Canis lupus familiaris: one gene and its partner. The protein of the gene in region 2 purifies or fractionates together with the protein of the main gene of each other region. This does not show direct contact. Links are inferred from orthologs where the notes say so. Each region holds a gene or a part of one and is shown on either strand. Other genes may lie near its edges.

Region 1 (6,121 bases), on a different chromosome or scaffold from region 2:
GAAGCAGGAAGCAAAGAGTAGGACTGATAAAGATGAAAGATTCAAGAGGCTGGGTGTCTTGATGTGTCCCTAAGTACGGATTAACCAGGAATAAAGGAAATAAAAAAAAGGAAGTTACATTCCGATTGTGAAATACTAGAATTTACAACTTGTTGGGTTAAAGCAGTACAATTAGGGATGTTGACAAATAAGGTCATAGAGAAAAGATCAAAGAACAACTGTGTTGAAAGGAACACGGATGTGATGCCAGGAATTGAAGAGGTAGACTGAATGTGAGTGAAAGGCCTATAGAGATCCACTGACTGAGAACAGATTCTTAGAAATTAAATTGAAGGGCAGCCCCGGTGGCTCAGCGGTTTAGCACCTCCTTTGGCCCGGGGTGTGATCCTGGGGACCCGGGATCAGGTCCCATGTCTGGCCCCGTGCATGGAGCCTGCTTCTCCCTCTTCCTGTGTCTCTGCCTCTCTCACTCTGTATCTCTCATGAATGAGTGAATAAAATCTTTAAAAAAAAAAAAAAGAAAAAAGAAAAGAAAAAGAAATTAAGTTGAAGATGAGCTTCCAAATAGGAACAGTTTGGAGTAATACTGACTTAGTGGGGAACTGAGCGAATCCAGAAATTGTCTTGTCTCTACAGTAATCGCCACTTAAAAAGCCACAAAGGAGGTAAGTTTTTCAGGAAGGAGCTAGTTTAACATAGAATCAGGATGAGATTACAGGAGAAGAGAGAGTGGGGGAATTCTTTACAGTGGAAAGGGCCCAAATAATTATGTGTGTTTGTGGTGGTATGCATTTTTAGTATGATAAATTGAGATGAGTGGCAATATTTACTTGAGTATAAGCATTTTTGGTGTCATGGTGGACTGTGGATCTGAGCCACTCAAATGATTGGCTGTTGAGCATAGTAGTGGTTAGGAATGTGAGCACTGGAGGCAGGCTGTGTCTAGGTTTGAATTTTTTTTTTTGAATTTTTTTTTAAAGATTTTATTTATTTATTCATGAGAGACACAGAGTAAGAGAGGCAGAGACCCAGGCAGAGGGAGAAGCAGGCTCCATGCAGGGATCCCGATGTGGGACTCGATCCCGGGTCTCCAGGATCACACCCCAGGCTGCAGGCGGTGCTAAACCACTGTGCCATGGGGGCTGCCCTGTTTTTGTTTTGTTTTGTTTTGTTTTTTAAGATTTTATTTGATTTGTGAGAGAGACACAGAGAGAGGCAGAGACCTAGGCAGAGGGAGAAGCAGGCTTCTCGCAGGGAGCCCGACACGGGACTCTATCCCGGGTCTCCAGGATCACACCCTGGGCTGAAGGCGGCACTAAACCGCTGAGCCACCTGGGCTGCCCTAGCTTTTTAATTTTTATTCCATCCCTTAGAAGCTGTGACCTTAGGCTTTATAGCCTACATTGGTTCAGATCCTAGCTCTCCTCCTTTTGGCTAAATACTATATAATCGTTTCCCCATGTAAATAGAGACATAGTTTCTACCTTGTTAAATATGCTAATTAAGTATGCAGCACTTGTAAATAGCAATCAGTATTATACTCAGTTCTGTAGCTAAACCATGAGGTTGTTGGGTTGGTGTGTTTGTTTAGATTTTATTTTCAAGGGCAGCCCGGGTGGCTCAGTGGTTTAGCGCTGCCTTCAGCCCGGGGTGTGATCCCGGAGACCCGGGATCCAGTCCCACGTCAGGCTCCCTGCATGGAGCCTGCTTCTCCCTCTGCCTGTGTCTCTGCTTCTCTCTCTCTCTCTCTGTCTCTCTGTCTCTCATGAATAAATAAATAAAATCTTCTTTAAAAAGAAAACGATTTTATTTTTAAGTAATCTTTATACCTCACGTGAGGTTTGAATAACTATGAGATTGAGAGTCACATGCTCCACCAGCTGAGCCAACCAGGTTGCCCGTGTGTGTGTGTGTGTGTGTGTGTGTGTAGGGGGTTGGTTTTGGTTTTTGTTTTTTAGCATGTAGAAGGAAGATAATGTCTAACCTGGAGACAGCTTTTCTCTGCTTTTTTTAAAATCAAGAGCAGGGGAGATTCAGCATTTTTTAAATTTATTTATTTATTTATTTATTTATTTATTTATTTATAAAAATTTTTAAAAAAGATTTAGATAGAGATGTGTATTCTGTTTACTCTGGCTCTCTTCCTCAAAACCAGTGGGCAAATATGTCGTAATTCATGTTACAATTAAGTAAACAAACAATTTTTTACTTTTTTTTTCAGGTTGAGACTGAGCTAAAGTTAATCTGTTGTGACATTCTGGATGTACTGGACAAACACCTCATTCCAGCAGCTAACACTGGCGAGTCCAAGGTTTTCTATTATAAAATGTAGGTTCTATACTAGAAGGGAAAATGTCAGATTAAATGTTAGCCCCCTTAGAATTATCACTTTTTTTTTGAATTATCACTTTTTTGTGTAGGTGTTCAACTTTTATTTAAGAATAATTGTTTAATGTTTAAAGGATAGTTATATGGGAGGAATGATTTTCAAAACTTAGAGTGCTCATTTGCATATTCACTGCTAATGAACAGTTATTGTTGCATTTAAGATGCTCAGACTATTTACTATAAGAGTACTAGGTTTTACCTCTTTTCATTTGTTTTTGTGTGGAGTTAACCCATCAACTGTTGCAATACATTACATAGTTCAGTTTTAATGTTTTATGTAGAAGTTTTATTTCACAATTAACTGTCATGCCATTTTTTGGAACCACTTTTTTATGTTTAATTCTAGTTGGCAATAAATTTATTGATTTTTTTTTTTTAGAGGCTTTTCAATTAATTTCTCTAAGATTTTGCTTATATTTAGTATTCTGAACTCTGAGAAGGAAAACTGAATAGTCTTTCCTGATAGAGTGAAGTTATTGAAGTATACATGCTGATTATTAAAATAATTTTTGTTACATTTCATTTTATAGATTATAGAAAAATTTTAACAGTTTACTTTCATTTAAAAAGCATTCTTCCTAATTCTATTTGTTTTATTTTGTTTTGTTTTAGGAAAGGGGACTACCACAGGTATCTGGCTGAATTTGCCACAGGAAATGACAGGAAGGAGGCTGCAGAGAACAGCCTAGTGGCTTATAAAGCTGCTAGTGATATTGCAATGACAGAACTTCCACCAACGCATCCAATTCGCTTAGGTCTTGCTCTCAACTTTTCTGTATTCTACTATGAAATTCTTAATTCCCCCGACCGTGCCTGCAGGTAAGTCATGGAAGAGAAACAAAAGTTCTCACTGGGAAAGTGAAAAACATTACAAGAGAGAATTATTTGTCTTATTTCCTGGGATTGCCTTTGTGGCCTTGGACATGTAAGAATTCTTTTGGCTTTTAATGAAACTTCTTTGGATTATTTTAAGACCGACTCTATCTCTGTTCACTAGGATAGCAGTTTTAGATTATGTTGATGGGGACAATTTTGGTTGGTAGGTTGAAATTTTAACTTGTTAGTGGGAGGGTGGAATTATTATTATTATTTTTTTTTTTAAGATTTTATTTGTTAATGAGAGACACAGGCAGAGAGAGAAGCAGGCTCCATGCAGGGAGCTTGAGGTGGGACTCCATCCCAGGACCCCAGGATCACACCCTGGACCGAAGGCAGGCATTCAACCGCTGAGCCACCTAGGTGTCCCAGAGGGTGGATTTAGAATAGAATTATTCTTTTTTTTTTAATTTTATTTATTTATGATAGTCACACAGAGAGAGAGAGAGAGGCAGAGACACAGGCAGAGGGAGAAGCAGGCTCCATGCACCGGGAGCCTGACGTGGGATTCAATCCCGGATCTCCAGGATCGCGCCCTGGGCCAAAGGCAGGCGCTAAACCACTGCGCCACCCAGGGATCCCTATTTTCTTTTTTTTATATATGAGCTTTTAGTCATTTGTAGGTATGTTAACATAGTTAGGCTCTTAGTGTACATATTTTGTATTTTCTATTCTAATATGAATAGTTTTCCATCTTTCTATGTTAATAATTCCCTCATATGTATTTTAGATTGTTGCCAATATTTGATACAGATAGAAATTTAAGGGCTACCTCTATGTACATGGCTTTTTCTTGTAAAAGTTATTGCAAAATATAACAGTTTATCACTCTAACCATTTTTTAAAGATTTATTATTATTATTATTTTAATTTTAAGGATTTTATTTATTTGAGAGGGAGGGAGAGCATGAGCAGAGAGAGGGAGGGAGACTCCCTGCAGGGCTCGATCCCAGGACCCTAAAATCATGACCTCAGCCAACAGCAGATGGTCAATGGACTGAGCCACCCAGCCACCCAAAAGATTTATTTATTTTAGAGATAATGAGTGAGTGGGGGTGGGGTGCAAAGAGAATCTCCAGCAGACTCCCTGCTGGGCTCAGAGCTGATGCAGAACTTGGTCCTATGACACTGAGATCATAACCTGAGTTGAAATCAAGAATCAGATTCTTCATGACTGAGCCACTCAGGCGCCCCTCATTCTTCTAACCATTTTTAAGTTGTATAATTGAATGGCATTAAATACACCTGCAATATTGTGTAACTGTCACCACTAAGTTATTTCCAAAACTTTTTAATCACCTGAAACAAACACTAACTGGTACCGGGTCATTGTCCAGATTCGCCCACCCTTGACCCCAGTTATTTCTACCTTTTCTCTTTGTGAATTTGCCTATTTTAGGTACTTCATATAATTGGTATAATGTATTTGTTGTTTATAGTTTACAGTCTTCAGTATGTAGGGATCAGATACTCGATGAAAGGGAGAGATTGTCCTTTTGTGAGGTGGATTCATTTGAATGCAGACCATTATTTATTCATCTAAAAACATTCTAAGGGCACCTGGGTGGCTCAGTGGTTGAGCGTCTGCCTTTGGCTCAGGTTGTGATCCCAGGGTCCTGGGGTGGAGTCCCACATTCGGCTCCCATGGGAAGCCTGCTTCTCCCTCTGCCTGTGTCTCTGCCTCTCTCTGTCTCTCATGAATTAATAAAATCTTTAAAAATAAATACTTAAAAATAAAAACATTCTAAATGCCTCGTCGAGTTTAAACAGGTACAGGTCTCAGCTGAAGAAGTTATAGCTATCTCTGTTCAGCTAATAGTATTGGTTGGGTCTTTCATTGTCATTCTCCAGTCTGCTTGTCCCACATATCACTTGGAGTTAAGTCTTCTCCATGCCTTTATTTTTATGCATTTGCTTTAATCTTAAGTGTGCATTCATTCTTTTCCCTACCCTTTAAGATGAGTTTATATTTGATTTTTCCTTTTTCTTGTCCTCTAGGGTTTCTGAAGTACTTTCTCCAGAGAAGCACTTCATACTTGTTTTATAATGGTTTTATATGTCAGTCCTCTATTTTCTAGATATTCACTGTGGACTGAGATTGTTTTTTCCCTCTCTTCTGTTTCTCCACCAGTGTTCCACATCACTTGGTATACATCATACAATATATCCAGTAAATGTTGTTTCTTTTAAATTCTAACGAATAGCTTACATACATTTTTGTGGGTTCTATATTGCCCCTCCCCCCATTTTTGGCTTCTGTTAACATTAAATTCTTCGGAAATAAACTGAACTAACATTTCATCTTTTTGCATTAAAATTTTATTAAATAAGTGAGCTGTTAATGCTTGGCTGGCTTAGTGGTTGAGCCAGATATCTGCCTTCGGCTCAAGTCATGATCCCGGGGTCCTGGGATCAAGTCCCACATAGGCTCCCCACAAGAAGCCTGCTTCTCCCTCTGCCTAGGTCTCTGGCTCTCTCTCTCTCTCTCTTCTCTCTTCTATGTATGTGTCTCATGAATAAATAAATAAAATTTTTTAAAAACGTGAGCTGTTGACTAGAACTTGGTAATACTTTTATTATGCCTATATTTTGGTTGGTTCAGGATAGAATTTATTTAGTCTATATTCTGTTTATTGATAGGCTTGTCAAAAGCCTAGTAAGAAGTGGTGTTCTGGGGTGCCTGGCTAGCTCAGTAGGTAGAGCATGTGACTCTTGACCTCGAGGTTGAGGTCATGAGTTTGAGCCCCACATGGGGAGTTTTTAAAAAAAATAATGTAGTAGTGCTCCTAACAATTTTATGCCTCCAAATTTGCTAGATTATAAAATTAAATAGAAAATTAATTTTCATCAGTTACAT
Region 2 (6,704 bases):
CTCAAATTATAACTGCTAAATGGCAAAGCCACTCTGCCCTTGTATGTAGGTGAAAAGACAGATGAGGTGCCTCTGGATATTTCTCTAGATACTATTTCTGTACTCATAAGCACTTGATAAATACTTATTAAATTATTTTACGAATAAATGCAGGTTTTAAAAACCTGTCATTCACAGCTATTTTGTAAAGTAGGCAAATCTACTTCTATTTTACAGTTGATAAAATTCCAGAGAGATTAATGGCACATTTAGGTAGCAGTAGAATCTGAGCTGGTACCAAGATCTCCTAAAAATCACTGTTAAAGTTCCCAGGATACCTGGAAAGTTTACAAAAGATGGTAGTTAAAGCTGAATAAAGTCAGGGCGAACGTAGATGGCAGTGGTTAAATACAGAACAGGGGTCAAAGCCAAACTAAATATCAGAGAAATAGGGGGTACACCAGAAAACAAGTAGATCTTTGCTCCAGTCTACTGCTCATTTTACTTCTCAAAGAGTTTGTTAATATTCGTGGCAAGTAATAAGGTTTAGTGGATATATATTGAATGAATAGATCATCTCATCATGCCTAAGCATCACAGATACAAATTTTTAAAAATCTAAGTATAATAACACTAAGAAAATAGATAATAAAATGACAAGGGAGGAGCAACTGTGAGACTTTGAAGAAAAGAGGTAGTAATATGAAACGATAACATGGATAACATGCTCAAGATGGCAGGAAGTTTGCAGGTATTGCCAAAAAAGAGGAATTCTTTAATTAAGTGTAGCTGAATGCCAGGAACTCAGAGTACATATGCAAGTTAGAATGTCAAAAGGAACAAGTACTACAAAAACAATTCTGTATACCACAGGGGCAAACACAACATTTAAAGAAATTATTTTTACTTCTTCCCATTTCTACTCACGCACTATTATACCAACCTAGCTGTGTGTCATCATCAGCTTCTGCTGTTCTGTAGCAATATGCCATGATCTCAGATTGCTGGTTTGCTTTTACCTTGCCACTTATGCTACTCTTGTCTTTGTCCCAGTCTGCTACCATCTGTGCCAGGCCTCTTACTTATAAAAGGTGTCCCACAAATATGTCATAATCAGTTGTTTACTAGTCGTCATGGCAACTTTAAAGCAAATTTTCCTTATCACAAAAGCAAATCAAAGGCAAGCTGAACCCAAGCCCACAAACCACAAATACCCTAAACCTCCCAAAAGATTTATATGAAGGGTAAGAGAAACTAGGTAGGCAAGAACGATATGAATAGAATCTGGAAATGATGGTCAAGGTTGCATCCATCTTCTAACATGTCTTTGAGTTTCTCCTAATTGTTAAGGTCCTGAAAGTTAGGGATTCTACTAAATCATTTGACTCCTCAGAGTTAGGAATTCTACACGTAGCCAACAAATGATTGTTTAGTAGCTATTGTGAACAATAGAATGTACTATGTTGTTTTGAGCAGATGAGGGGGTTGCTGAGACCTTGAGATGAAAAGAGCTACATAAATTGGTCAAAAACAGAGCTTGCTTTTCCAATCCAGTTGGAAGAAAAATATAGGCAATTTAAAGGAAACTATCTAAAAGTGCTTTAAAAACTCTATATTACAAGCAGTGAATATTAACATTGAGGAATAAAATGATTGGATTTGGCAAGTTTAATATGGGACAACTAAGTTGAATAGGCAGGTAAAATTATTTTTGCTAAATTAAAAAAAACATTTAATTTATTTATGAGAGACACACACACACAGAGGCAGAAACATAGGCAGAGTGAGGAGAAGCAGGATCCATGCAGGGAACCCAATGTGGGGGACTCAATCCCGGAACTCCGGGATCATGCCCTGAGCTGAAGGCAGATGCTCAACCACTGAGCCACCCAGGCATCCCTATTTTTGCTAAATTAAAAAAAATTATTTATTTATGTGAGAGAAAGTGCAAGCATGAGAAGAGGGGCAGGGCATAGGGAGAGGGACCAGCAGACCCCCCTGAGCAGGGAGTTTCACGCAGGGCTCAATCCCAGGACCCAGGGATCATGACCTGAGCCAAAGGCAGATGCCCAATGGACTGAACCACCCAGGTGGCTCTATTTTTGCTATATTTTGAAACCAATTTCATGACTATTAAATTTTCTGTATTTCTCCCTCTGTATGATTAACACAATACAATACCATCTTTATCCCATGGTTATTCAAGTAGCGAGGATTGAATGAGTTAATATTTCTAAAGCTCTTAGAATGGTGCCTAGCACACAGCAATTGCTACGTAGATATTTGTTAAATAAAATAAGTAATTCCAGGCCTCACACATGCTGAATGACTATTGTTAGGGTCTCTGTAAATCCTAGGAAGGAAAAAAAATTCTGGTTCTGCTACTTGTTCTTCAGGACTTTTCCTAATATCGTTGAAGCTGACAATGCTTGTAAAATGAAGATGGTGATTGCCACTCGCTATATGAACTCTTATTCGATTCTCTTTATTTTTACACCATTACTTTTGTTTTTTCACTTCCCTTTTGTTTAGTGCATCCAAACGGATTATCTGAAAAAAAAAATCAGCCCCTCCAAACACCAAACAAAATCAAGGGATTTAAGAAATGGGCAGAGATCACAGAGATCAGAGCAAATAAATTGGCATTGAAAAAACATGGAAACCACAAGTTTCTGTTTCCCTTGAATATTGGCCCAAACTCCTCCTGAACGGCGATGCTCCACTGTCTCCAAACTATTGGTTCTTTTCAAAATCGGGCGCCAGGGTCCCCGGGCCAATGCCAGAGAGGAAGGCGCCGGGCCCCCTGAAAACGCTCCTCCCTTTTGGAGGAGGTTTGCGGGGCGGGGTTCCCACGCATGCTCGGTGCCCGCGGGCTCATTGGCGCGGCCGCCGGGCGCGTGCGCAGGACCCGATGGGTGCCCGGACGCGGAAGACTTGGCCCCGCGGCGGTTCCCGCTGCTGAAGCGTGGGAGGCGGAAAAGGCGGCAGGTTGTAGATTTTGGTCTTGGCCCCAAGGGGTTCCCTCGGGCCATTAGAACCCAAGAGAGGAAGAGGAGGCACCGCGGCGGCGGCTGAAGGGCCGAACCCCCCACCTGTCCTCCAGGCGGGGAGGGGGGGTAGGGAGGGGATAAGCACCCCTCACAGGGCTGAGGATCCTCCGGGACCGAGTCCCAGAGCATGGGGGGCTGGACCGGGTCCCCCAGCATGGGGAACTGGAGCCGTCGAGGCCGCCCGGCCGGGCCCTGCCCAACTGTCAGCTTTTTGGTACTAGCGCTGCCTGGGCAGCTGCGGTGTTTGTAGCCCGGCCCCGGTTGAGGTCGTCGGCCAAAAGATAGCAACATGAGTTCCGCCGCTGCCTAGTTTCCTCCCCATCCTCTTCTCCCTCCGTCCGCCTCCTCCCTCCCTCCTCTTCCCCATACCTCTTTTTCTTTCCCTCTCTCGTATTCCTCTTTTCCCACCACCCTGCTCTCCTCTTCCCCCTCGGTCCTCCTCCTTTCCTCATCTTCCTTTCCCGATCCTGTCCTCCTTTTACTCTCTCTGCTTTCCTGCTTTTCTATATATCCGCTTTCCCTATCTCTTGCTCTTTTCCTTCCATCCCTCTCTTTTCCTTCACCCTCTTCCTTTATTCTGTCACCCTCCACCACCTCCCACTCCACTACCGCCCCCCTTCCTCCTCCCCTCACTCACTCTCAAGCTCCCTTCCTCATCCTCATCCTCCTTCCCTCCTCCTCCTTTCCTGCTTTTCTCCGCCCCTTAGCCCCCGCCCCTAAGCCTCCGCCCCTTAGCCCCCGCCCCCAGCTGCCAGTCCCCAGCAGCTCAGTCCTGCAGTGAGAGTCTTGGGAGTCCATAGCTAAGCACCAGGAGCTGAGCACTGTCCGCTGTGCCTGCCTGCAAGTCTCCGACATGGCTCAGGAGAAAATGGAGCTGGACTTCGAGCCTGACACATCCGATGGGGGCACCCTGAGGAGATCCAGCAGCGCTCCCCTGATCCATGGGCTCAGGTGAGGCGGGTTGGGAACGATGAAGTACAGGGTTCAGGGGCTCCTTGACCCCCTGCAAGCAATCTTCCTTCCCTAAAGTGAGAGTTGGTGCTCATCTGGGTTTTCCAAATTAAGGGCATGGGGACTTGTTTGCTCGACAGTGACTTGGGTCCCAAGGTGGAGTGAAAGTTTGACCCCAGACTCTGGGAAGTGTGGAAAAAATGGGACCCTCTTTACCTGGGGCTCTCTTGGCCCACTCTGAAAGGATCTACAAGAAGCTTCTGGATCTTGTAACAGGTTGCTTGCCCTGCCTAATTTGCACCACTGAATGTTAGCCTGAAGCCCCTGGAACTAGACTTGCAACTTGACACCTGTCTCTAAGAGCTGCTATTTCTAAGCTTAGTTTAGGAACCCTGGCATTAACGGAGCATTTACTTTAATAAATCACAATTTATCTAATAACTTGTAACAAGTGTCATGTTCATGGCACATTAAGTGATTGGGATTTGTCGTAATGTTTTCAGATCCTAAAACTGCCTGGAATGCATACCAGTGAATAAAAAACAAAAGGTGTCTCTTAGCTTAGGTCAGTGAAAATACAGGTTTTAGAAAACAATGGAAAGAATCAACCCTTGAATTTTAGTGGTAGGGTCTTGTATTTTCACGTGAATACTCACTAGAGGGTCTATTTTAAGGTAGAATCTTACAATAGTGAAGGTTAGGTTGGCAGACCTCCTGAGCCTATTACATTTCACTCCTGTAAGTAGACAATTCATCTTAGTGGAGAGCTAATTTGTGAGACCTTGTAGAAATGGAATTAGCCCAAAAAAGGGGATGGGAGTAGAATTAGCCAAAATCATTAATCAAGCACAGTGAAGGCAGAGAAATAGGTAATTTTTATCTATCAAACTGATTATAATATCTGTATTTGAGGGGAAAATGGATTTACTCATTTTCTTGTATTAAATTTTTAAACTGAGGGAATGATGGGGTGACTCTTTGCTTTCTTAATGGCTGTCCTCAGCTCTACATTTATTTTTGATACTATAGGAATAAATTGGTCTTTTGGGGTTGTCTTTTTAAATCTGGTAAGCAAGCAATTGCAAGGGACTAGGGCGATCATGCTGACCTGCATTTAGACTGTCATAGAAATAACACTGTTTTTTGAATCGAGATTTAAGTAATTACTTGCCAGGGTAGCATGATGTGACAGAAGGAGTGAGGAGACAAGACCTAGTCCCAATATCTCTCCCTAACTGTGATCATGAATGAGTCACTTAGCCATTCTAAGTGTCTGTTTTTTCATTTGAAACTTAAGACCTGAATTAGGTGATCTCATGGGTCCAGTGAAGCCCAATTCAATTCAGTCCTGAAAATTTTTCTTGGCTTCTTATCATGGGCACGGCACTCTGCTAGGCACTGCGGGGATGTTATACAAGAAGGAACAAAAGACCTCTACCATGGAATTTAAAACACACGCACACTTCTCTGTAATAAGAGGTAAAGTCGATGTCTCAAGAAGCATCTTATTTCGCATTGTGCTCTTTGGACTCAAAGGAGGGCAGGATTGCATTCGGTTTGTGGACTGAAGAGAGGCTTCATTCACAGAGGGTATTGGATTGAAATGGGTGCTCAAGGAGAGGAAGGATTTTGATTGATGGTGGTGGGAGGTAGGACATTGTGAAAGCAGAAGAGGCAACTTGAGAAAAACTCCAGGTATGTTTATTTAGTTGTACAGCAGACTCACAGGTAGAACACTTATTTAGGGCTATAGTGGGAGATGTGCTGATGGGCCCTGTACTGTAGCACAAGGCTCCCCAGCTCTTCTCATGGTCATGGCACACATAGAAAGCAGTAGTATGTTTAGGTCCTTTGGTGTAAACAGATGAGGCTGCTGGTGTCTGGTGGGAACTGGTTTGGGGGCGTGAGCTCTGACCAGAAGCAGCTGGAGGCAACCAGTTTGGAGCCCCGCCCCATACCTCTCCTAGCTTGCCCCCCAACCACTGAGGAGATCAGTATCTGGGCAAACCTGTGATCCACAGCAGAAGCTCTGAAGAGGTCAGTGAGGAGCTTATTCATTGTACAAAATGAGGAACCATGGAAGATTTCATTGTTGATCAGAGAGTTGATGGATATCTCAAATGAGAAGACACTAATAATTTTATTTTTATTTTTTAGTGATCTTTCACAGGTCTTTCAACCTTATACATTTAGAACTCGGAGGAATAGTACAACAGTTATGAGCCGTCATAACCTGGTAAGTATAGAAGTAAGTATTTTAGTGGTATGGATTGGGGAAAACACTTTCAAATGTAGTTCATTCTTAAGATGATGTGCTATGCCCCTCTGTTCACAAAAGAAAAAAATATTTTACCTGTCTTGCTCATTCTGTGGCCATTTTCAGTTTTTGGTGCAAAAAAGAGATCTGGTTAAAGTTTTTTCTTGGCTGTGGGACTTTGTATTTCTAAAGATTGTTGTTTTTTGTCACTACTTGCATCATGGTTATGAGGTAAGTCAGGATTAACCTCTAAATATAGCTGAGAAAAATGATCTTTATTTGTTCTAGAAAGCAAAAATCATTAAGACAGTAGCAGAGTATTTGTCTCTGGCACATATCTGTTGGACAGTGCTATTTATCCAAAGTAAGATCTCCTTTAAAATGCTCGTATTTATGTTCTCAGCAGAGTTGCTAATAGTGACTGTTTTATATAGCCAGAGCTGTTGGGATCACTTTATTAGTTGGTT

Evidence for each region. Proteins that work in one complex are often made in the same cells at the same time.
Region 1: the proteins of PABIR2 (region 2) and YWHAE purify together in Homo sapiens (affinity purification with mass spectrometry; 3 studies listed by BioGRID and IntAct, with this or other methods). This does not show direct contact. The link is inferred for Canis lupus familiaris from reciprocal best matches to the Homo sapiens genes PABIR2 and YWHAE.

What each region holds. Positions count from the first base shown.
Region 1 is NC_049230.1:45,482,093-45,488,213, reverse strand, and holds part of YWHAE (14-3-3 protein epsilon), read left to right. Parts: intron 1-2,221; coding exon 2,222-2,328; intron 2,329-3,000; coding exon 3,001-3,207; intron 3,208-6,121. UniProt on the Homo sapiens protein: Adapter protein implicated in the regulation of a large spectrum of both general and specialized signaling pathways. Binds to a large number of partners, usually by recognition of a phosphoserine or phosphothreonine motif.
Region 2 is NC_049260.1:106,343,716-106,350,419, reverse strand, and holds the start of PABIR2 (protein FAM122B), read left to right. Parts: upstream 1-2,869; 5' UTR 2,870-3,882; coding exon 3,883-3,980; intron 3,981-6,137; coding exon 6,138-6,216; intron 6,217-6,704. Other genes in the region: protein FAM122A-like, read right to left, coding at 923-1,043.